Linked DNA regions of Oryza sativa Japonica Group. The protein of the gene in region 5 binds, or shares a complex with, the protein of the main gene of each other region. Links are inferred from orthologs where the notes say so. Each region holds a gene or a part of one and is shown on either strand. Other genes may lie near its edges.

Evidence for each region.
Region 1: THO complex subunit 5A (region 5) and THO complex subunit 3 share a complex: the UniProt entries of both Arabidopsis thaliana proteins name them as parts of the THO complex. The link is inferred for Oryza sativa Japonica Group from reciprocal best matches to the Arabidopsis thaliana genes THO5 and TEX1.
Region 2: THO complex subunit 5A (region 5) and THO complex subunit 1 share a complex: the UniProt entries of both Arabidopsis thaliana proteins name them as parts of the THO complex. The link is inferred for Oryza sativa Japonica Group from reciprocal best matches to the Arabidopsis thaliana genes THO5 and THO1.
Region 3: THO complex subunit 5A (region 5) and THO complex subunit 6 share a complex: the UniProt entries of both Arabidopsis thaliana proteins name them as parts of the THO complex. The link is inferred for Oryza sativa Japonica Group from reciprocal best matches to the Arabidopsis thaliana genes THO5 and DWA1.
Region 4: THO complex subunit 5A (region 5) and THO complex subunit 2 share a complex: the UniProt entries of both Arabidopsis thaliana proteins name them as parts of the THO complex. The link is inferred for Oryza sativa Japonica Group from reciprocal best matches to the Arabidopsis thaliana genes THO5 and THO2.

What each region holds. Positions count from the first base shown.
Region 1 is NC_089043.1:11,600,573-11,605,695, forward strand, and holds the start of THO complex subunit 3, read left to right. Parts: upstream 1-1,841; 5' UTR 1,842-2,018; coding exon 2,019-2,129; intron 2,130-2,782; coding exon 2,783-2,878; intron 2,879-3,398; coding exon 3,399-3,528; intron 3,529-3,893; coding exon 3,894-3,982; intron 3,983-4,520; coding exon 4,521-4,589; intron 4,590-4,985; coding exon 4,986-5,043; intron 5,044-5,123. UniProt on the Arabidopsis thaliana protein: Acts as a component of the THO subcomplex of the TREX complex which is thought to couple mRNA transcription, processing and nuclear export. Contributes to the integrity of the endogenous trans-acting small interfering RNA (ta-siRNA) pathway.
Region 2 is NC_089037.1:612,308-615,443, forward strand, and holds part of THO complex subunit 1, read left to right. Parts: intron 1-28; coding exon 29-75; intron 76-199; coding exon 200-271; intron 272-377; coding exon 378-506; intron 507-589; coding exon 590-697; intron 698-1,206; coding exon 1,207-1,323; intron 1,324-1,413; coding exon 1,414-1,496; intron 1,497-2,228; coding exon 2,229-2,295; intron 2,296-2,588; coding exon 2,589-2,660; intron 2,661-2,757; coding exon 2,758-2,808; intron 2,809-3,136. UniProt on the Arabidopsis thaliana protein: Acts as a component of the THO subcomplex of the TREX complex which is thought to couple mRNA transcription, processing and nuclear export. Contributes to the integrity of the endogenous trans-acting small interfering RNA (ta-siRNA) pathway.
Region 3 is NC_089043.1:16,266,114-16,271,153, reverse strand, and holds the start of THO complex subunit 6, read left to right. Parts: upstream 1-1,727; 5' UTR 1,728-1,782; coding exon 1,783-2,019; intron 2,020-2,109; coding exon 2,110-2,225; intron 2,226-2,320; coding exon 2,321-2,397; intron 2,398-2,643; coding exon 2,644-2,689; intron 2,690-2,812; coding exon 2,813-2,873; intron 2,874-3,041; coding exon 3,042-3,095; intron 3,096-3,264; coding exon 3,265-3,349; intron 3,350-3,451; coding exon of another isoform or gene 3,452-3,455; coding exon 3,456-3,491; intron 3,492-3,798; coding exon 3,799-3,905; intron 3,906-3,990; coding exon 3,991-4,101; intron 4,102-4,781; coding exon 4,782-4,898; intron 4,899-5,008; coding exon 5,009-5,040. Other genes in the region: uncharacterized protein, read left to right, coding at 223-428. UniProt on the Arabidopsis thaliana protein: Acts as a component of the THO subcomplex of the TREX complex which is thought to couple mRNA transcription, processing and nuclear export.
Region 4 is NC_089035.1:40,603,835-40,608,276, forward strand, and holds part of THO complex subunit 2, read right to left. Parts: intron 4,208-4,442; coding exon 4,133-4,207; intron 4,043-4,132; coding exon 3,995-4,042; intron 3,896-3,994; coding exon 3,827-3,895; intron 3,681-3,826; coding exon 3,547-3,680; intron 2,944-3,546; coding exon 2,868-2,943; intron 2,150-2,867; coding exon 1,959-2,149; intron 1,819-1,958; coding exon 1,738-1,818; intron 1,586-1,737; coding exon 1,387-1,585; intron 923-1,386; coding exon 734-922; intron 653-733; coding exon 572-652; intron 480-571; coding exon 360-479; intron 1-359. UniProt on the Arabidopsis thaliana protein: Acts as a component of the THO subcomplex of the TREX complex which is thought to couple mRNA transcription, processing and nuclear export.
Region 5 is NC_089036.1:32,788,752-32,793,704, reverse strand, and holds the start of THO complex subunit 5A, read right to left. Parts: upstream 3,025-4,953; 5' UTR 2,975-3,024; coding exon 2,732-2,974; intron 2,638-2,731; coding exon 2,347-2,637; intron 1,708-2,346; coding exon 1,371-1,707; intron 921-1,370; coding exon 586-920; intron 102-585; coding exon 1-101. UniProt on the Arabidopsis thaliana protein: Acts as a component of the THO subcomplex of the TREX complex which is thought to couple mRNA transcription, processing and nuclear export.

The DNA.
Region 1 (5,123 bases), on a different chromosome or scaffold from region 5:
GATTCGGCGGCAAGCGCTCAAATATTATATCGCCGAAAAATAGATGGAGTATTACTTAGATAATGATCAGTTTAAAGTTGCTAGGAGAGTAGTACATGAAGGGATTTGTGAAATTCATCAATCGGCCCGTAAGATAAATTGGTTGCTTAGGAGAGTGTGGTTTCATTGGCCGAAAATAATTGATGATTGTTTCAAATGTTATAGAGGGAGTGAAGCTTGTTAACGGATCGGCAATGTTCAATTAGCGCCTACCGCTGTGTTGAATCCTATCATTAAAGTATGGCCGTTCTGAGGTTGAGCTTTGGATTTCATTGGTCAAATTTATCCTTCGTCATCAAAAGGGCGTTGGTTCGTGCTAGTTGCAATGGATTACTTCACTAAGTGGGCCGAAGCCGTGCCGCTCGAGAATATTACTTGTACGGAGTGAGAAGTTTTGCCGAATCTTATGCTATTAAGTTGATGAGTTCTTCTCTTTACTACGCTCAGGCTAATGGATAAGCCGAGTTGAGTAATAAAACATTGTTGAAATTGTCGTTTTGCCAGTTGGGGTAAATCTTGGCTCTCTTCGGTATTTCAAGCAAGACGACTTGTCGGTTGAAGATTACAAGACCTTGATGGGAAACAATTTTAAAGACGTCATCGACAAGCGTTTAAAGACTTTGAAGGAGATGAAGACACTTCAAGACGGTGTTTTCAGAGAGCAATTAATGGGAAATACTTGAAGAAATATTTCCCGAGCATTTGGCAAGATGCTTAGGAAGTCCTATGGGCGGTAATTGGATTATCACCCTGACATAACATGTTCTATGCTTTTAGGTTCACGTATGTTTACAAAAAAGGCAGGGGGGCATGTGTTTACACCCAAATTTGGCACCTATGGACGAAATAGAGGAAAATTGCCAAAGTTTGGAAAGTGACGGGTTTCCTTCACAGGGCCGGTTAGACCACAGGTGTGTGGGCGGTCTGACCGTCTAGTAGGGCCGGTCTGACCGCAGGTATGTGGGCGGTCAAACCGTCAGGGTCCGAGTCCGAGTTTGTTTTCGTCGGGTCTCGGGTTTCCTTGCCTGGGAAGGTAGGTTTCGTGTTTCCTTTGGTTTCTATCCCGAGTTGGATATGGAGAAGGGCCTGTAGAGGGTAAGACCAACCCCTATTTAAGGGACAAGGCCGGTTCATTGTAAAACCCCCGAATACAATTTACTTGAATCGTTCTTTTACCATGTTTTCTATTTTACCCTAGTTTTAATCCATCTTTGTCGGTTTGCGCCGTAAACCGTCCGCCGCCGCTGCGAGAGTGCGACACCTCTTTGTAGATTTGTCCTGAAAACCTTCCGTATTGCCTATGAGACAGGTTAGTTATCCTCATATCGATCTAAATCGGCTTAGAGGCTGATTTTTGATCTCTAAATCGGCTCCGCTAGCCGGTTTAGCTGTTTTTCTACAAAACCCATCTTGATTTGGCCGTTTGGCTAGATCGAGGTGGTTGGCGACTCCATATCACCGCAAGGCGTTTAGGTGCTGCGATCGTAATTGTCGACTTGTCACAAAAAGTTGCCAACAGCCGCAGCGGCTGTCCCCTCCAAAGAGGTGGTGGAGAGAGATGAGAAAAAAAAAGAGGGGAAAGATGAATCTAAGAAGACGAAGATGGATGGAAAATATTACTATAGTGGCATGGTTCTAATTTTATAAAATTTCAATGTCACAATTAAAAAAGACGAATTGTAATAACATTTATCGGTATATTTACAATGGCATGGATTCAATTAAACAAAAACCAAAGGATGTGTCCATGGCTCCATGGTAAGGATAACGCATGAACTTGTGGCATGAATAAACAAAAAAGTAGAAGGACGTTTCTGCGAAAACCCTCTCCTCTTCCCCGCCGACGCCGTCCCCGGCTCTCCCTCCTCCGTCTCGCGCCCGCCGCCGCCGCCACCGCCACCGCCGCCGCCGCCTTGCGCCTCGTGACGCGGTGAGTGGGGAATAGCAAAACCAGACCCGTGCCCCAGTCCGCGGGGACAATGGAGGGGAAAGAAGACGACAGACGGCGGGGCGGCGGTGGCGGAAGCTCGACGCCGGGGATGAACCTGAAGAACCTGGTGTCGAGGGAGTATTTCGGCCACAAGAAGAAGGTAACCTTTTCGATTCCCCCCTCACCAATCCTACGCGGGGATAAGTTTTTTTCTCATGAGGTCCTAAACCCTCAAAAGTCCTGCGAGGGGGAAGCCCTAAAATCCGGATGTTACAAGCAAAAATTAGGACGAAAATGCATCCATCTTTGGTTCACACGTACGGTTTTGTTTCTAATTCTAGAGCAGGATATAGTGATTGATTCCTCGCGTTCATGCCGTATATATGCTGATTCTTTTGCTCTAGGGCTAAGCCATGTTGAGATTGAATGAAGCTTTGGTTGGTTGCTTTCCTTCTGGGAGCTGGTGAATGAGCGCATTGTCAAATATGATTCCTGGTCATAATTACTCCTAATTTTTGAAGGAATTTGGTTTCACGAAAAGGGACTTCTTGTCTGACTTTGTAAAGTTGCTACTCCTCTGAGGGGAAGAATTCAAAGGGAAAAAAAAATCTTACTTGCAGAAAGAATCATAGTACAACGATATTTCTCTGTTTCTTTCTTGAATTCTGTTTCTTGTTTTTCTAAATAATCCTTCCACACATGGAGGTGCAGCATTTAACTGGTTCTGTCGCTTTTTGCCTTCTTTTTTATCTATCTTACATACATAATCAGCCTTAAATTTTGTATAATTCTGATCTTTTGTTTTACTGTTAGGTGCACTCTGTAGCATGGAACTGCCTAGGCATGAAGCTTGCTTCAGGCTCTATTGATCATACTGCACGTGTATGGAGTATCGATCCCCATGGCCATGTAAACATTCTCTCCTTTCCTGATTGCAAACAAAATAACCTTCATTGTTATTATGGAATTATTAGATAAACGCATTTATTGTCATTCACTATGAATAACTGTCACCCTTTTTTTATGAACATTTCTATAAATTTGAAAGATAAGCATGATGATTAATTGGAAATATCTCCCGCTGTATAATTTAAAATTATAGAAACTCAGACAGTAATCACACTTAAGCATACCATAGCCTGTGTCTCTGAGACATATGTTTGAGCTATTTAATGTGAAATTGTGAATGATTTCTTAGCTAGGGGTTCTTTTGGATCCCTCAGTTGTACTTATTTCTTCTTCTTAATGAAAGGAAGCGCAGCCCTCCTGCGGTTTTGAGGAAAATAAATTCTAAGCTAAATTATATTGTTTTGAGAACACTAAGACATTTTTGGTTGGAACGTAGGAGGGGAAAAAACCCCAGATGGTTTCTATTTCCCTGGAAGTACCAAGTCAGTACTGTGCTGATTAGGGTTTTTATATTGCACAGTCCAAGGTTAAAGACATTGAATTGAAAGGCCACACAGATTGTGTAGATCAGCTCTGCTGGGATCCGAAGCATCCTGATACAGTTGCTACAGCAGCTGCTGACAAGTCAATTCGCCTCTGGGATGCACGGAGTAAGTGGTTCCCTTCATCTTTGAAGGTTAAAGAACTAAGATATCCACAGTTGTGTTCAGCATTCTCAGCTTCTCTCTGAAATTGATGAATCCCTTTTTGTCACTTTGTTCAATCCCTATGTTCCATTTACAATGAACTTGTTGTTACCAGACAAGATGTCTTATTCTTTTGTGTAGTGACTCTACCTGAAAGTTAGTTTCAGAATTTTTTTAGTTGTACTTCGATTTTTTTCATAGGATTGTACATCATACTTTTGATTCTCTATTTATAACTCTACAAGATTTGGGCCTGCAGTTTGCCTTTTAAAATTATATTATTTATTTGACCCGCTATTTCTCAAACTGTTTGACGTGTTCTTTTCCAGGTGGAAAATGTCAAGTCGTCGAACTTAGTGGAGAAAACATCAATATCACTTATAAACATGGTGGTACTCAAATAGCTGTTGGAAACAAGGTATGTATTGCCTAGGCTGTTATCCCTGTTAACTTCAAGAACGGTAGTCATTTATGACTAAGGAACTGGTTTTGATTTGCATATATCATGCCAGAAGAGGGTTACAATATTTTGAAAGGAATTTATAAAATTCTTTCCAAAGAGAAATGTGTAACTATAATCTGATTTATATTAGATTGAGTGATGAGTTATTTGGCAAATTAGCATCTAAATTGCAATGTTCATTCTTGTGTTTGACATGCTCTCTGTATAAGTATCAATACAACATAGCTCAGTATGGACACACTTGAATATATACATATTGATCCTAAATTAGATGGAATTATTTACTTTTTTTGCTATGCAAAGTTAGTAAAGTGTTATTGAGCATGGGGACTGGGGAGTGGTGTGTAAATTTTATAATAATTGTAGTAAACCTATTTTTATAAAGTTTACAAGTTAGTTCGCAAGGTCCCGCGTACACCAATGTGTTTACTTTGTGAGTTCTAGTTTTATAAAATTGTACAAGTGTAGTAACAGCTGTCACTATGATTTGCAGGAGGATGAGTTGACAATAGTGGATGTTCGGAAGCTAAAAGCCCTTCACAAATTTAAGTTTAATTATGAGGTACTTTCCACTTGAAGGTTTGAATTGTTGAAACATTCTTCTAGCAATTTTCTTCTTCCTTTTGGAATCTTTCGCTGCTCTGAATGAACATGCACATATAGTCATATACCTTTTGAGAAAAAGTAGAGTGGGCATAAGTCGGCAGCATGTGCATCTTTGTCTGGAACAGGAAAATTGCCTGCTGGTATTTGAATTAGTACTGACTACTGAGTGTGAATTACCTAACTATTCGATGTACTTTAATTTCATTTGCTGCATTACTTATGTTGCAGTTTTGTAAATTTTCTATTTCAACTAGCTAAATGCCCGTACACCTGCTACTGATAAAAATGAATCATATAGCTCCTCAGATCAGTTAACTTTTCTGAAGTAAATTATTGATTTGTTGTTCCTCAGATAAATGAGATTGCATGGAACAAAACTGGAGATTTATTCTTCATCACTACTGGACTTGGTAAGATACAAAACCCATATGTTGTTTTAAGTTTCAATATCACACCAGTTGGTATCAGTGTAATTACATTGTTTGCTGTT
Region 2 (3,136 bases), on a different chromosome or scaffold from region 5:
CCCTAATGTAAGCCTTTTTTTTTCTCAGGAATTTCTGTTGATTTCAACTTCTACAATACCCTATGGAGTCTGCAGGTGGCTGCTTTGTACCCTGTCATTCTGTGGGATTCAAAAATCATAATTGATTCCTGACACGCTTCTTAACTTTTAAACATTATATTGTTTCTCATGCTCATTTGTCTTTTTATTTATGTTCCAGGAGCATTTTAGTAACCCTGCTTTAACTGCTGCAAATCTGACAAGATGGCAAAAGTTTGTGTCCAATTTAACGGTACATCCTTTTGCGCATTTTTACAATTACATGAACCTTTTTCTTTCCCAATGCAAAATGTTAATTCTGAACTTCTCGTTGATGTTTACTGTTAATGAAAGTGCAGGTTGTGCTAAGCACATTTGAAGCTCAGCCTCTCAGTGACGATGATGGAAAACTTAACAATCTTGACCAAGAGGAAGATGCTGCTTTCAATATTAAGTACCTGACAAGTAGTAAATTGATGGGTTTGGAGGTAAGAACTTTTTGATCAGCTGATACTAACTTTTTATTATTGTTCACTGTTCATAGACTCATATGGCAATTGCTTCTTTGCAGTTGAAGGACCCAAGTTTTCGACGCCACATCCTTGTCCAGTGCCTCATATTCTTCGACTTTCTCAAGGCACCTGGAAAGACTGACAAAGAAGGTCCAACTGGGAGCATGGTTAGTCCACTAAATGACTTCTCTGATTGTTTTCCATGGACAGTTGAACTTAGACTTGAGCATCTGAAATTGTGCTGTTACCAAATTTTTAGTATTCACCTATTACTACATGATTGCTCTTGAGTTTGTGATAGTCACAACAGCAAATGTGGCAAAGCTAGCATTAGTTCTCATGAAACCATCAGCTCCTTTTTCTGTGCATGCTATGTGAGATCGTAAGTAGTCTGTGATAGCTATTCCCATTTTAGTTGAACCGATTATTATCACTTATTAGCATACTTCTCACAGCGTGTGCTACTGGGCATGTAAGTATTAACAAACACTGATTGCACAAATTGTCCAAACCGTATGAAGTTGCTTGGCAGTGCTAGTTTTTAGTATAACAGTGCCAACTAATACCAACTGCCTGCCTGATACAACTGGGTTATAGTGGCTAGTACAGACAATGAATCAGGATTAAGGAAATGCCACTCTGTACTCTGTATTAACTTTATGCTCTCTACAATCAGAAAGAGGAAATCGATTCTTGTGAAGAGCGTGTTAAGAAACTTCTGGAGATAATTCCACCAAAAGGGAAGGACTTCCTACAAAGCATCGAGCATATTCTTGAGCGGGAGAAAAATTGGGTATCCTCTTAGCTGCATGTAAGCAATATTTTATCTTAACATAGTAATTCTCACAACCAATGATTCTGTTCCTGCTGGCTCAACTTGAAGGTATGGTGGAAACGAGATGGGTGTCTAGCGTTTGAAAAACAACCTTTTGAAAAGAAACCAGGCCAAGCTGGAGTCAGAAAACGGTATGCTACTTCCTTTCTTCTGGCACTGAATTTGCCATTAGTCTATTATTGGTTCTGCTGTTGATGTGCTAGCCTATCATAATGTGTAACAGTTACAATAGATTTGAAATGATTTTAGTGCTAACTAAAAGAACAGCAGCTATCAACTGTGATATTGTCTTATTAAATACATCCCGCAAAGCATACTGTTTATAATTTTGATGGTACTGGGAGCACCATATCCTAAACATTGTGTCACTGGGAGCATTAACTTCAAATACACTTTATCTGAATTACCATGGAGCAGACAAATTAGTTATTTTATAATTTTGTGCTGCCAGTTTTTTTAATGTTCGCCAGAAGCAAGAATCATGAATTTCACCTGTTTCACATCAACATTCTTATATAGTGTCAACTTACAATGTTATGGATTTAGATGTGTTGTTATATGTATGAAGTTCACAATTTGTATTCATTTGTGCTAATGCAACTAGTTTCATATTTTTCATGAGTGAAGAGTGTAAGAATGGTCTTTGATATCGATTGCCTCGTTGAGTAGTTGTTTGTGGCATAGGTTTATTTAGAGAAAAGGTAAAAAAACAAATTAGTAGGAAATATAGCATAGATTCTTGGAGTTAACAAGCCAGTATTCTACTTCACATCCTCATGTCGATTTGTAATATGAATTCACACAAGAAAGTCCATGTCCAAATGCAATCTAATTCTTTGATATTTTGCTTTCCTTCCTTGTAGTAAGCCAAGGTGGAGATTGGGAAACAAAGAACTTGCCCAACTGTGGAAATGGGCTGAACAAAACCCTGTATGTTCTACCAAGCATCCCATTACTATTATGTTTGACTTGTTACTAATAGATTTGCATAATCCAGTTTAAAAGGGTTCCATCCGTTGAGTTCCCTATCTGTGCCTTTCTGAGTCATTTTCTATCCTTTTGTCATGCAACACTCTACTATTTGAAGGCATACATCTTCCATTAATCGGCCTTTCTCATCACTTTTTATCATTTTGTGATGCAACTTGTCCAACATTTAAATTCATCATTTTTTTAGCATTTATTTTTTTGCATCTGACTTCTAATTTCTCCGTGAGCTGCAGAATGCTCTGACTGATTCTGAACGTATTTGCATGCCATCAGTAACAGAATATTGGAAACCACTTGCAGAAGATGTAAGTGTTTCAATTTATATAGTCATTTTTATCCGTCCTTTTTGCTTTGAGCAAACCAATTTATTAGTGCAATCCTCTAATTATGTGTAACTTACAGATGGATCCATCTGCTGGTATTGAGGATGAATATCACCACAAGAATAATCGTGTGAGTATAGATCTCAGCAACACTATTTCCTGTTGAGATGATTATACTAAAATTTGGTTCTGTGATGACTGTACCAGAACCCAATTAATAAACAGGGTATAGCATAGGCTATTTACATTTAGGATCTGGTTTAAATAGGAAGATATATCACCTCTCGGGGAGCTAAAATACAATTATTCTTCTAAGCGGGTACTGCTAAGACTAATGCTAAAAAGACTGGGTCTATTACCATGTTACAAATGTCATCCAACCTCCCAATTTTTCAGTAGGAGTGGTATTTGTTAGCCTTTATTTGTTTGCTCGTATTGGGTGAATATGTTGATCCATG
Region 3 (5,040 bases), on a different chromosome or scaffold from region 5:
CAGGCATAAAAGTTTAGATATGTATGCCCTAAAAATAGTTTGAATACAAATACTTTGCTTGAATTCCTTCGAAGAATTTGCAGCACACAAAAAAAAATCAACAATGACTTGTCAGCTCTTTGTGTGTGATATTCATGCATGATGGTCAGATTCTTTTATGCATTGATTAACCTTATCTTCCTGTCTAATGATTATGATACACACCATTACAAAATTGTGTAGACCTGCATAAGGACTCAAAGGATGAAAGCAAGGTGTCAATGAACAAAATAGAGACCCACAAGAATGAAACTCATGGTACAAGCGATGATATAAATGAGAATACACCAGTTGAGAGAGTTAAAGGTCCAAATGTGTTTGAGCGTGCCAAGGAAGAGATTGAAGCTATTGTTGAAGCCTTCCACCCAAAGAAGGGATCTGACAAGTGAAGATTGAGATGTTCTGTTGCCTCTGTCTGCACTTGATGTGAAAACATTGACATGAGTTATTAATAGATCCATGGATGAGTTGTGAGATATCCATCGGCTGGTCTTATTATTGCCAAACTATGGAGTTGTAACTGTTGAATGGTTCATTGTACCACTGATATATATATGAGCAGAGTGTGTATCATGTGTGACATGAAAGTATTACTGTTCTTCAGTGTTTGATTTTAGTGTATGTTGAACTTAGTCCTTTGCATGATATGGTATTTTACTTGCTACCATACATGCAAAAATCTTTTGAGGTGCATAAATAAAGAGAGAGTCAATTGCTGTACAATTTTATAACCTTATGCTAAGCCTGTGGTTTGGGTTCAACATGCTTCACAAAATAACAGCATTTCCTTAGTGAAACAAGACAGAAACGCGAGATATGAACGATATGATACCTCAAACCCCATGTTCTTTGAAAAATAAAATTTTGAGTTAAATGTTGGTGTTGCTACACCTAGTAGTATAGAGTCTTGAAAAAAATTCCTCTCTTTTGATTTGTGTGGTTTCAAACGCTTCATCTAATTGATCATTCCTGTTATTTTCCTATCCATAAGATTTGAGGGAACTATTTCGAAGGATCCTTTCTCAAGACTCTAAACGGTGTGATTTTCTTAAAACTTTTTGTATAAATTTCTTAGAATACTGTTCTAATATTTTTTTTTAACTTTATACTCCATCCGTATTTTAATGTATGACGCCGTTGAATTTTTGACAAACGTTTGACCTATCGTCTTATTCAAAAAATTTATGTAATTATCATTTATTTTATTGTGACTTGATTTATCATCAAATGTTCTTTAAGCATGATATAAGTATTTTTATATTCGTATAAAAAATTTGAATAAGATGAATGGTCAAACGTTGGTTAAAAAGTCAACGGCGTCATACATTAAAATACGGAGGGAGTAACATTTATTTAATTTGTTTGTTCCCTCGAATAATTATCGCAACATTACGCGAAGCAACAACTCAAATAGATATTTCATATTATTTTATCAATGAATAAGATCTCGTCGTTGGCTTCTCATCACAAAAAAAATAAATATAAATTTATTAGAATATTGTTTTAACCTATTTTTTAAAACTTTATAACAGTTATTTTATTTGTCTGTACCCTCAAATAATTATTACAATACTGTACAAAAACAAATCAAATAGGGATTTCATATTATATTTTTTAATAATGAATAGATCTGGCCGTTGGTTTCTGATCTAAAGGCCCAGCCCAACCAGCCGCTGTCTCTTCCCCCCACTCCTCGACTCGCTCTCGCTTCCGAAGCAGCGGCGGCGGCGGCGGCGAGGCGAGATGGCGGCGGCGGCGTTGGCGGGGATGGACGCGCGGGGGTGGGACGAGGCGGCGTACAGGCGGGGCATCCTGCGGGAGCGGGACCTCTCCTGCCGCACCCTCTTCCGCGCCGTCTTCTTCGACCACCACGACGACGACCCCGACGTCCTCCTCGCCGCCGCCTCCAGCGACGGCTCCCTCGCCTCCTTCTCCCTCTCCTCCTGCATCTCCTCCTCCTCCTCCCATCCCACCCCACAGGTTCGTTCGTTCCCCACACCCGCTCCATGTGCCGCGTCCTCGTGCGCAGCTAAGGTGTTCGATCTTTTGTTTTGATTTGATTGGATTCAGACCCACCCGGATGCCGCGGTCTCTCTGGTTGATCCCGTCTGCATCGTCCAAGCGCACAGTGGCCCGGCCTACGACGTCAGGTTCTACCCGGATTCGCAGCAGCCGCTGCTCTTCAGGTGAATTGCTGTGCTGCTGCTCGTCTTCTCGGTGGCCGTTTTTGTTCAGGTGACATGGCATGACATTTGGCGACGTGATCCGTTGGTTGTGGCAGCGGCGGGGATGACGGGCGCCTTCGGGGATGGAGATGGCACGAGATGCAGAGCTGCCTTGTGCCGCTATCTCTGCAAGGTGCTGCAAAAGAACCCTCACTTCTTACTAGGATTGACTTGGTTAATTAGTTTGGTGTGTGCTTTACCTAGAAGTTCTACCTGTACTTGCTTGCGCACACCCCACAAAGAAAAGGCTAAATTTTTAACAAAGATGTAAAACATTTTGCAAGTCCCATTTCCTTTTCTAGTGCTCTAGTGCATGTTTTTTTTGTGGGGCTAATGCATGTTGTTTAATAGGTTACTTTGTCATTGCTTTTCTTTCCAGGGGATCATTTGGAGCCAGTACTTGATTTGGTGAACCCTCAGCATGAGTAAGTATTCTGTGAAAAAGGACATACATCTGATAATCATTTGACATATCGTTTATTCTAGAGAAATATGCACTTGCACTCTCATCCTCCATCTTTTCAGAGCTTTTGTTTTCGATTTTGTAGGGGTCCTTGGGGTGCTCGCTCTCCAATACCTGAAAACAACGCCATTGCGATTAACAAACAGGTCAACACCAGAAAGTCTGCATTTTCACTTCATCCAAAGAAGCAAAATAATCTCTTGTGTGCATTTTTGTTCATCGTGTATATTATATAGAAATGATGCATATTGTTACTTGCTTAAAAAAAGATATCTTATTCAGTTATTCTTTCTCATCATTCTTCTTCGCAACAGGAAGGATCTGTTTATGCAGCGGCCGGGGATGCATGTGCTTATTGCTGGGATGTGGTATGTATTTTCTTGAGGTAAATGCAATATATAGAAGTCCTGAGCTACATGGAAGGAACTACAGATTTCTTATGATTCATGTGGCACAGGCTTCCATAATTTTCTATTTTCTGTGTGCCTGCTTGAGAAAATATCTGATAGTAGGTTTTACAATGTCTTGTTCTTTCAGGAGAGTGGTAAATGTAAAATGACCTTCAAGGGACATACTGACTATTTGCACAGCATTGCAGTCCGCGAAGCGAACCGCCAGGTTGGTTTGTTATTATTGTACTGATGTAGTCCAATACCATTTTCCCATAGATGTCTTGCCTTCATTTTGTAGTAACTTTTAGTTAATAGAGCCTTTCCTTTTTCAGGTAGTTACAGGATCAGAGGATGGCACAGCCCGTATCTGGGGTGAGCAGTGCTTTTGATAGGATAATTTTGTCTTGTACTTGAAGTGTGCCTTCTCATGTTCATCCTGTTCTAACTGGTCATTTTGTATATCTGCTCGTTGATTCAAGCAAAGAAAAAGCACCAACTAGCTATTTGTCTTTTTGTACTCTTTAATTCACATCTGGTGATCTGGTCACAGGTCACATCATATTCACAAAATTTATCCTCTCTCTTATGAGTTTACCTTCAGACAGGTTTAGAAAGATTTGGCACTACATGGAAATCCATAAAAAGGCATTCTCTTATTTCTGCTCTTTGTGCACTGCAGATTGCAGAAGTGGAAAGTGCACTCAGGTTATACGTCCGGTGAAAAACAAGATTTTTGAGGGGTCATGGGTCAGTTGTGTTGCCATTGATGCAAGTGAAAGCTGGCTGGTAGGATGCACTTCAAGCTGATATAACAATGTGTTATGCATCATGTATTTTACAGTTATTATTATCTTGGTCCTATTTTTCCCAGGCTTGTGGTACTTCTAGTGGTATATCAGTTTGGAGCCTTCTTTCAAATGAGTGCATCTTTAATGTGGATTGCCATGCTCCTGTTCAAGATTTGCTGTTTGACAGAAACCAAGTAAGTCTATCTATTCGTCATGTTCAAGCTAGAGTTTAGCAAACCAGTAAAATTGCCCATGGTTAGAAATGGCTCATCTTGTATTTCAAAGATGGGCTGGCAAAAAATTTAGGACGGATCATTCCATTCTTTAGTCTTTGTGAGTTTAACAAATGCTATACCTGTAGTAAATTAGTGTTCCCCTAGTCAATTATTTCCATTAACAAGTCATATGATAGTTCCACAAGTGCATGATTTATCTATTTAACCAATGCCCTTTCTAAATTTTTTTATGCATAATTGTTTGCCAAATGAAAGTTTGCATAATTGTGTGGATATGAAATTATTATCAGATAATCTCTCAGATATGCACAGAAAATGCAATAAATTATTTCCTGATGATTTATGACATGGTTGCCAAAATTTGAAGCTTTGTGATGTTATTGTTGGAGAGAAACAGAATAAAATCAAAAGCTTTTGCTTCCAAACAAATATAAGAGTGACTCTTCAGCCAACTAGTTATTATTCCTGCAAGGAAAGCTTTTTATTATTGTCTGCTCACATCTATTAGAGATTTACCAAAGCAATGTTGAGTCTGGCGATAGACAATAGAGCAGCACGAAGGATGCATTGTTTCCCAACTCTTGTGGTTTAGGAATTATCAACTGTTTGTTTTCTTATACTCCATTTTCACCATTCAGATCTTAGCAGTCGGTGCTGAACCTCTGCTCTCTCGTTTCTCTATCAATGGGACTCTTCTTTCACAAATCAAGTGTGCTCCTCACTCAGCATTTTCTGTCTCCATACATTCTTCAGGGGTATGTCTGTCTGTCTCTTGATTCTCATTTTGAAATGACTTGGGTATCTGTTTCACCCTACTTCTGGAGTCTGGCCGATTTGTCCTGAGTTTACTACCTTTGTTGTGCAGATGGCAGCTGTTGCTGGATATGGAGGCCTTGT
Region 4 (4,442 bases), on a different chromosome or scaffold from region 5:
AACAACAGTCGCCGGTCTAATGGAAGTAGTTACATCTCATGTTTCCAAAGAAAAACATTGTGTTTAACTGCAATGTTATATACATATTTTGAATAACTTTATCCCAAGTACTCCCCCCGATTCATATTATAAGTCACTTTGACTTTTTCCTAGTTAAACTTTTTTAAGTTTGACCAAGTTTATAGAAAAATTTAGCAACATCTAAAACACCAAATCAGTTTCATTAAACCTAACATTGAATATATTTTGGTAATATGTTTTGTTTCACTACTTTAAGTTTGACCAGAAAAAAAGACAAAGCTACTTATAATATGAAATGGAGGGAGTAGCAACTATATGCACTTGTTCATTCAAGATACCTGTTGGATAATTGTCCGAAGTACTGTCATTGGATTTGCATGGGCAAGTTTAGCCACCATGCGGCCAAGTTGCTTCAGATTTTCCTTAGCAAGCCGCTTTAAGAGCCTTCTGGTATCCAACTAATCAAAAAAATAAGGACAGTTAATTGACAGCTGAAGATAAAATTATAGGGGAAACATAAGAAAACTCAGTCATGGAATAAATAATCAACCTTTGCAGTTTGCCTTGCAGCAAGGACAATTGGGTTTTGTTCGGTATCCTTCTCCCATTCACCATATAAGCGATAACGGGTCTAAAAATGAGTGGCACAATTGTAAAACATTGTTTACAAATGAATTGGGCAAATAAACAAACTATGAACAATACTACGAACCTCATAAGGAAGAAGAGAAAGAACTCCCCATATCTCCATATCAACAGCAGGATTTGCAGGTATAAGCTGCAATGATGGTAGCAAGCACGATCCAAGTGCTTCTTCAATTCGCGAGTCTGGAGACATTACACCTGCTGTACGGATTGACTCTTTTGCTGACAGATGGTACGCTTTAAGTACTCTGCAAACCTGTAGTTAACATGGAGAATGCTACATTAGGTAAAACATGCAACAACTTGTTAATAGATACTCCAGGTGATACTGCATAATGGAAACATTTAATAATAGGATAGTTCGTTTGAATATGCAACAACTTGTCAATAGAACCCATTTGCACTATAAGCTACAAGACATTATAAATTATCTGTAGTAGTTAAGCAACAAGAACGGTGTTTTTTACTTATTGAATTATTACAACAATGCAAGCCAGAAAACAAAAATCTGGTCACAAGCCTCATGGCAACCATAAAACCATTGATTGGATAAAAGAACTCATGATAACTAGTTTACACAAATTTTAACAACACAAGACAAATAATACATGTGATAGGGGTATTAGAGAAAATCTCCAGTCAAAAACAGAAGCCGGAAGCATGTCATGTTCAAGCATGAACTGCTATGAGAATATTAGCAGAGAAAATAAACAACACTACCTTCTGAAATAATTGTGTGTTACGATGAAGGTATGGTCCACAAGCAGAAAGCATTTGGAAAAACTCTTTCGGCGGATCAACCGAAAAACTTTGTGAAGAGGAAGGTGATGTGTCCATCATATAAACAGGGTTACGAGGCATCTTATAATGTGTTTGGAAAATTATATCATAGACTGAAGAAATACTCCTTTCAATAAGTCTGCATGAACAAAAAAACAAAATTGAATAATATTAACCAGGGAATGTGTTGTAATACAAGGGCATATGTATCAAGCACCATCATATGCCCTGTTTGCAGAGAACTACAAGTAATGTTGAGGATGCTTGCATATGCAGAGAAAGTTGACAAACCTAAATAAACTATCACAAATTTCAACATGCTCAACAGGATTTAGGCGTGCAAGACGCTCAAAGAGGAGTTGTGCATGATCCCTGCCAAACAATGGTAGAATTCAGTTACCAAAAGTATAATAAGTACAAAAAAGGATAGATGTATTAACTGCTAAATGCAATTATATATTTAACCAAATAGCAAGCAGACAAAATAAATTGATGGAACACATGAACATTACCAATCATGAACTGACAGGAAACCAAGAAGAAGTCCAAGTTTCTGGTTCTTTTCAATCTCAGGGGCTCGCTCATCAATTATATCATTTTCCATCTCCAATGCTGTGTACAAATCAATAGTTATTTCTTGCTTCTCGTCATCCATAAGGTCCTTCCCAGTGGCAGCAAGATTTATTTTGCCTATATTACTAGCCTGGAATTAAGAAAGAGAGGGCTAAGTTCCAGAAATTGCAAAATACACCACAACCATTAAAGTGCTGAAGTACAAACAAACAAATCCTGATTATTTTCAATTACAGAACCATTTAACCTGATAGATTCTGAAATGACTTCACCGGAATGTATGAACAAATTTGCATGCTCAACTTGAAATTTTTCAGCTACAAAAAAATAAAGTTCCGCCATTCCACAACCAAAGTTGTTTTGCTACGTAAGGGTTACATCTTGTTAACAGAAGGTACCTATATTTAAAGATAAATACCCATACACCACAATAAAGCCAACATCTACATATCTGTCAATCCAAAATGTTACTTTCGATTTTATTCCCCACACATTCATTTTGCATATATCCTCTAATCCCTATATCCCCAGATCGTTTTTTTATCCTAATCCCAAAGGTTATGCATTATCATGGTGTTATTTCCTGCATATACAGAATCATGATTTACAACATTGTCTTTCTTCCTCTTTTAAAACAGTGGGATTTCATTTTGTTACATAGCAAAATTGCAAAATAAAAAGAAGGGGAGGGGGGGCTTGGTGTCGCACTATCAATTGAATTTGTACTTTTATCATTTCAAGTTTAAATCTGTAATGAGATGGCATACATACAACTCTCTTTCACAATGCCTGGATATAGCAAATATTTCCAAAAACATGAACTTCAGGAGGACAAAATGAATATTAACCTCATCGATTTTCCTCGTGACGAAGGAGTCAAAATGCTCAAATGCCTCATCATCATTTGGAAGTAAATGAGCATAGCTGCAATACAATTCAGATATAAGTCATGACTCATGAGAGTTGGAGTTGAAAGGCCATTCCCAAGTAGATATATTGTGGCAAAAAAAAGTCATGCTCATATAGTGTAGTAGGAATCAGGAACGTAAAAACAATCCATAACTAGAAACCATGATTGCACCAGTAGCCGCACTAATACATTATGAGCAATCATAATGATAAATTGATAACTTGAAACCATAATCAGTGTAACCTTTAACACACCAGTAGCTGTACTAATACATTTTGAGCAAAATCGATAATGGTAGAGTGCCACACAGAATCAGAGGAAATTAAAAAAATTCTTGTTATTAAAGAACAGGAGCCAATGTAAAGAGTTAACACTGAAGAAAAAGTAGAGTCCAAAGTTGGAGAGTAAATCCCAATACGAAGGCATTAATTACATGCATACATTAATTTACATGGACATAAACCTTATTAGAGGATGTATGTGTTTTTTTAAAAAAAAAAAGTGTGCTTAAAGCATAGTAGATATTTTTATAAAGAATACAAATTGCAGATTTTGTTTTGGGTGATGTCTAACATCACTGTAACCATCAGGAAGTCAAGGAGATTTAGTAAACTTACAGGCTATCAAGGTCAATAAAACCAGATTTGACCAACAAAGCTGCTATCCGGAAAAGCCCAGGTGGAACAGTGCTATTGACATCCAATCGTTGGTAATATTGGAACTTGAACCCCAATATTTGAGCAGCATGGGACTGCAATAAAAGGAAGTAGTAAAATAGGCTGAAATATTGTATGAAGTATGCTAATAATCTTTAGAGGAGGTTTACATTATTATATTAAAAGGAATATAACCATATGAAGTATGAAGTATACTCTATGAAGTATGATAAAGGAATACCTTAGGGAAAAGAGGTATAAGCTGACAAAAGATGGTATTATCCGGATAGAGCTCAAAACATTCCAGAACCTAGCAGAATACAAGAATAACATCACTACATGCTTTCGGTAACACGCTTTCACACAGTACAATGCATAACAAAAAAGTGGACAGCAAATCAAAACTCACAATATCAAACACACGATTTGGGTCCAGGTCAAAATGCCCAATCAATGACTGCCATAAAAAACATAATGTTATATCACAAAGATGCTCAAATGCTTAAATAACAGTACAGGAGGAAGAAAGGAATATTCTAGAGCACACCTTTATAATGCTCATAGTAACTGAAGAAGAATTTTGACAAGCCAAATCTGAACCAATTTGACAAAGGAGGGTTACCTGAACAATCCAGAAGCAAATATGATAAGAAGGTTAAAAACAACGGAACTTCAGTAAATCATCACAGAAATTAACTGAAGATGTGTCAAAAAAAATCCAGGTGTGCCTTCTAGTGGAACATGTGTCAAAAAAATTGCTGCAAAAGAATAGGGATACTGTGCTATCCACTATTTTCTGATCCAACTAGACTGTTTTAGATCAGTTACAAATTGAACATCAAAACAAACTAATTTAT
Region 5 (4,953 bases):
TCTGGCAAGAAATCTATACCAGCTAGATGTTGTGCCCACTTGTATGGCCTTGAATCCTTTTCACTGAAGTTCGGAACCTCCCCAGCATAAAGTTTAGCCATCTGCATAAAATTGATAAAACGACTCTCTTTAAGATAATATAACAGAGAACTAACCAAAAACATTTGGCTACCAACATGAGATAAAGCCATGATAGCTCACTGCTGCCTATGGCCACAAATATAAGGAAACCAAAATGACCTATCAACTAGAGATTGTCACAGAATGATTTGTATATATATTCCTTTAAAAAAACTCAAGTGGTGGTGGTGAATGGTGAATCTGCCTTAACCTACCACTATGATATCTCCTGACATGTGGGACCATCAAATAGTGATATGAACAAGTAGGTATACTGTGTTAGGTATCAAAACAATAATAAGAGAATTTTATACAAAGTATTTAAGGGGAAGATATCAAATTCCAACAGCAATATGAATTCTTGGATTAATATTTGAAATGGTAATGATATGATTTTTTTTCTTTTAATTCCATTAAAATGCAAGGGCATTCAGCTAGCAATAGTCAAAATCAGCTGATTCCAACCTGATGAGGCAACTCTAAACCAGTGTCATCTGGAAATAAGTTGCATAGGATATCATGGTCCAGCCCCTTTGAATCTTCAATTCCAACACAAACAACGTTCAACTTTGCCAAGTAGTCGAATCTCAGGACCATGAGCTTACGACGCTTTGCTCCAGACTCTTCAGTGTCGTATACATGGAGAATAACTTTAAGGGGATGAAGTTGATATGCCACTACTGAATTACTAGCTTCCTTCACAACACTTTTTCTTGACCTTGACCTTCTTCTTTGAGCATCTTCTTCATCATCAATTGCATCGTCATCCACTCTATTATCACCATTTGACAAAGTGCCAGCTATTGCAGATACAAAAGACACGCTTTATCAGAAATATTTCCTAGTCTACCACCTTTACAGATTATAACAAGTGGAAGAGAACCATTAGCAATCTGATTCTAACCATTATACAAGTATTGAAGCAAGCATGCATTATTTACATGCAGCTTCAATTTGTAATGAGGAACTAAAATATAACAGCTTCCATAAAAGACCGGGGCTTCTATACTGCTATATGAGAACGAACTGTTTATGCTAGACACAAGTATCTACTAGGAAATTGCATCTGGTCATTTAATATGTGGCTACGCTACATTGCTTTTCTAAAAGTAGTAAAAAGGATCCCTTACATATCATACGGTACATGAGAAGAGATAGAATAAATGTCATTAATTATTGCGAGTATTGCACTTCTGTAATAGGAAATCAAATAAACTATATTCCAATGAGATATGATTATATGAACCAACCATTTTCCTGCTTAGCTTGCTGTTGAGCAAACATCTGAGCATCCTTTGTGCTTCCAGTGATCTCCACTTCAATATTCTCTCCGAATGCTTCTTTCTGTCCTAAAAACTGCGTGTAAACTATATATAGAGGAGTTGGAAGCAGTTCAGCTGCATGATGCTGCTTTAGTTTCTTGGTATGTTGCATCCCCAGCTGCTGCTGCACTGGCAATGATGCTTTCTTCAGTGATTTCAAATGGGTTGGGAGGCTCGAAAGGAACTTTTTCTGATTTGCAATTGTGTCCAACAAACTGCTCTTCCGCTGCTCCAATTTCTCATGTAGCTTGCATAGCTCTTTCCGCTGTTTCAGATTTCAAACTTACTTTAGATATCAGAACAAATATTGGGACCCAAACAAATCAAGACCACACTAGCACAAAGGGAGTAAGGGACTTTTGTCCTAGCAAGCAAACACATATTCAAACAACTAGAGGTGATAAACAAATTAAGCAGATCAAATCATATCCAAAAACATACTACAAACCTTGATCACTAGTCACACAAAGAATTATCAGATTTAAGAAGAATTATGCAACTGACTAAAATCAATATACATAAAAAGAGTTTCCATAACAACAAAGCGTTCTACTTAAGAACAGTTTGATATATGAGCACTCTAAACTACAAAAATAACGGTGAATTTATAAAACATTTTCTATATATACATTTGAATTTTTGGAGAACCAATCCTGCAAGCCAAGCTAAATATTTACGTTAAATTTACTAGCAGGTCAACCCAGCTACGATGTGATTCTTTCTTTCGATTATTACCCTGATCCTTCAGAACAAACCCCCAATCTAAATGCTCATACAATCCTGTACACTCTCTATGATGCTTTAATCATTTAGACGAACAATGAACAAAGCACAAGAATTTATCCCATGACAAGTAAATCTCCTATTTGTGTAGGAACTGAATCAACTGATCACGGTACACAACCTGGACTAGCTCGAAATTGAGGCGCTTGAGCATGAGGTCGTGGGACGCGTCAGCAGCGAGCGTCTTATCGCGGATGTCCGCCGGCGCGGCGCGGTGGAACTCCTCCGTCGGCACGAGCTCTATGCCCGGGTACTTGGTCTGGAAGTCGAGGCACGCCCTAATGGCCTTCACGTAGTGGTTCTTCTCGTACAGAAGGTTGTGCAGCTGCAGCGTCGTGGAGTCCACGGGCGCCTTCGCCGCCTCCGTCTCCGCCTTCACCCTGTCCTCCTCCATCAGTATCTCCCTGTTCGCCTGCGCAAATCCAAACCCTCGAGTGAGCAAACAGCAGATCTAACGCGAGGGGTTCCCGGCGAAGAGGCGTTGCGGATTCGGGAGCGGCACGGACCTGGCGAAGCGTGATGAGGAGGAGGGACATCTGGGCGACGAGCTCCCGGAGCTCGGTTCTGGGGGCGTCGTCCTTCTTGATGGCGAGGATCCGGGCGGCGACCTCCTCCACGGAGGCGCGGGTCTCCGCGAGGAGGTCGTGGGGGGACTTGCCCTTCGAGGTGGATACAGTGCTGGTGGTGGTGGTTGGTCGCGCCGGCGCCTCGACATCCATGGCTTCGGCCGCTGCTGGCTCCGCCGCCATCGGTCCGGCCGGCGCTGGGAGAGACGATGCCCGAAGCGGCGAGAGGTGGTGGGAAGTGAGGTGAAACGATTCGTGGCTGACCTAGAGTTGTCGTGCGGGCTAACGGTTCAGCGTTTCGGGCCCAATTTGTAGAGAGAGAAAGAGAGAATTACCGGTTAGGCCCAGAAGGGAGAACCGCTCGGCCCATCTAACCTTTAGACACTTAAAGGAGGCCCATGTGGCAGATTTTATTTGGAGGAAATAAGTCCACTTTGATTACCTTAAAACTAGTGAACCAGTCTTCAAAATCGTAATATCGGATATCTCGATCCCTCAACTACTAAAACCGGTACAATTTAAATCATCGGAGGTTTGCTGACGTAATGCCTACGTGATGGTGTTGATTTAGTTTTTGTCTCACGTGACGCTTATGTGATATTAGAATAAAAAAATATATTGTCTCCATCTTTTTTTATTTGACGTTTGAGACAGCTTTGGAAAATTTAAGGAGTGCATGAGATTACCCTTTTCCCCTTCGTTCTTTCTCCCCCAATCCCACTGTTGTGTTTCTTGCACGCCACTCGCCGGTGGCGGACCAGCGCTCCACCCTCCACTAGCTGTGGCATTTCTTGCATGCCGTGCCAGGGTCGAACCAGTGCTCCACCCCGTCATTCCATGAGCCCGTCTACATCCCGACGACTACGCATCTAACCGATCGGTAGTGAAGCTAGAAAGTTTCCAAAGCCGCAAATCCAACTATAATAAGTAGGTCATTTCCAACCCAATGACTAGGATGGTATCCGTAACATTAAATAAAACTGTCACCTAGGATGAAAAATGATGTGGAAAGTGAATACATGAGAAAAGAGAAGGAAACCTTGTCTTATATGAGACTTGGTTTCTACACAACATCCAAGACATCATATGAGATAAATAGCATTAAATTTAAATATATATAGTGATGTTTGTATTGGAATAGTAGTGTCTAGTACCAGTTTTTTAATGATGTAGAGTTTATGGAAACTATGTGTAGTGTTTTGAGTTAGGAATAACCTAATATATCAAAATTTACAGCGTGTTCGCTGCAACGAACCTGGGGAAGAGGCGGAGCCGGTCGACGTGGAGGGCACGTGCGGGTAGCCATGGAGGCCAACAACGGTAGCAGGGCGGTGAATAAGTAGTACCGTGATTCTTGGTCAGGCTGAATCTTGGGTGTGTGTATTTATTGAGTAATCAGCTAATCTTGATCGGTAAGCATAACACGAACAAATTGCGAGTGAAAGCCATGACTTCGTGATGTTTCCCTGCAATCATCTAAAAGAAAACTTACAATATGATATCTCACTTGCGGCGGCCTATCTCTAGTGGATTCACCCCAATGATAAGGGCGGAGTCGAGATTGTGCATTGTGGAGAAGAAGACGAACATAAACACTCCGTGATTGTATCAGTAAACTTTCTTTGCCATGTATGATCATCGATCACTCTCTGGACGTCCGACTATCACGAGCGGTTCGTCCGTGATCTGTTGAGTTTATTATACGACTACGAGCGTACAACGGACAGGCTGGTCCGTGATGATCCAGCGCAATCATGTGTACCAATCGGCCCTACTACAAAAGCGCGAAGCTTTGCTTTCGCAACCCAGAGCCGTGCCAAATTGCAGCTGATGTACGCACATCGTATACCGGAAAGAACTGTTCGTCATGAAGAGCAGAAGACGTCCGTTGACGCTGACGGAGAACCAGGCGTGTTGATGACTTGATTGCAAACTCGTACGGATGCTGATGCCGATCGATGCCCCTGCTACACGATTGTTGGGTCACCGCATTAGAGCAAGTCTAACAGTACAGAATACTACCAGCTCCAATTCATTTATAACCAATCTAATAGCCAATTCATACAATAGTTGCTTACTATACTATTAATATATGATCCCACATGTCATACACATAGTGTATCTTAGAATCCGTGCTGCAGCTGGCTACAGATCTGTAGCCC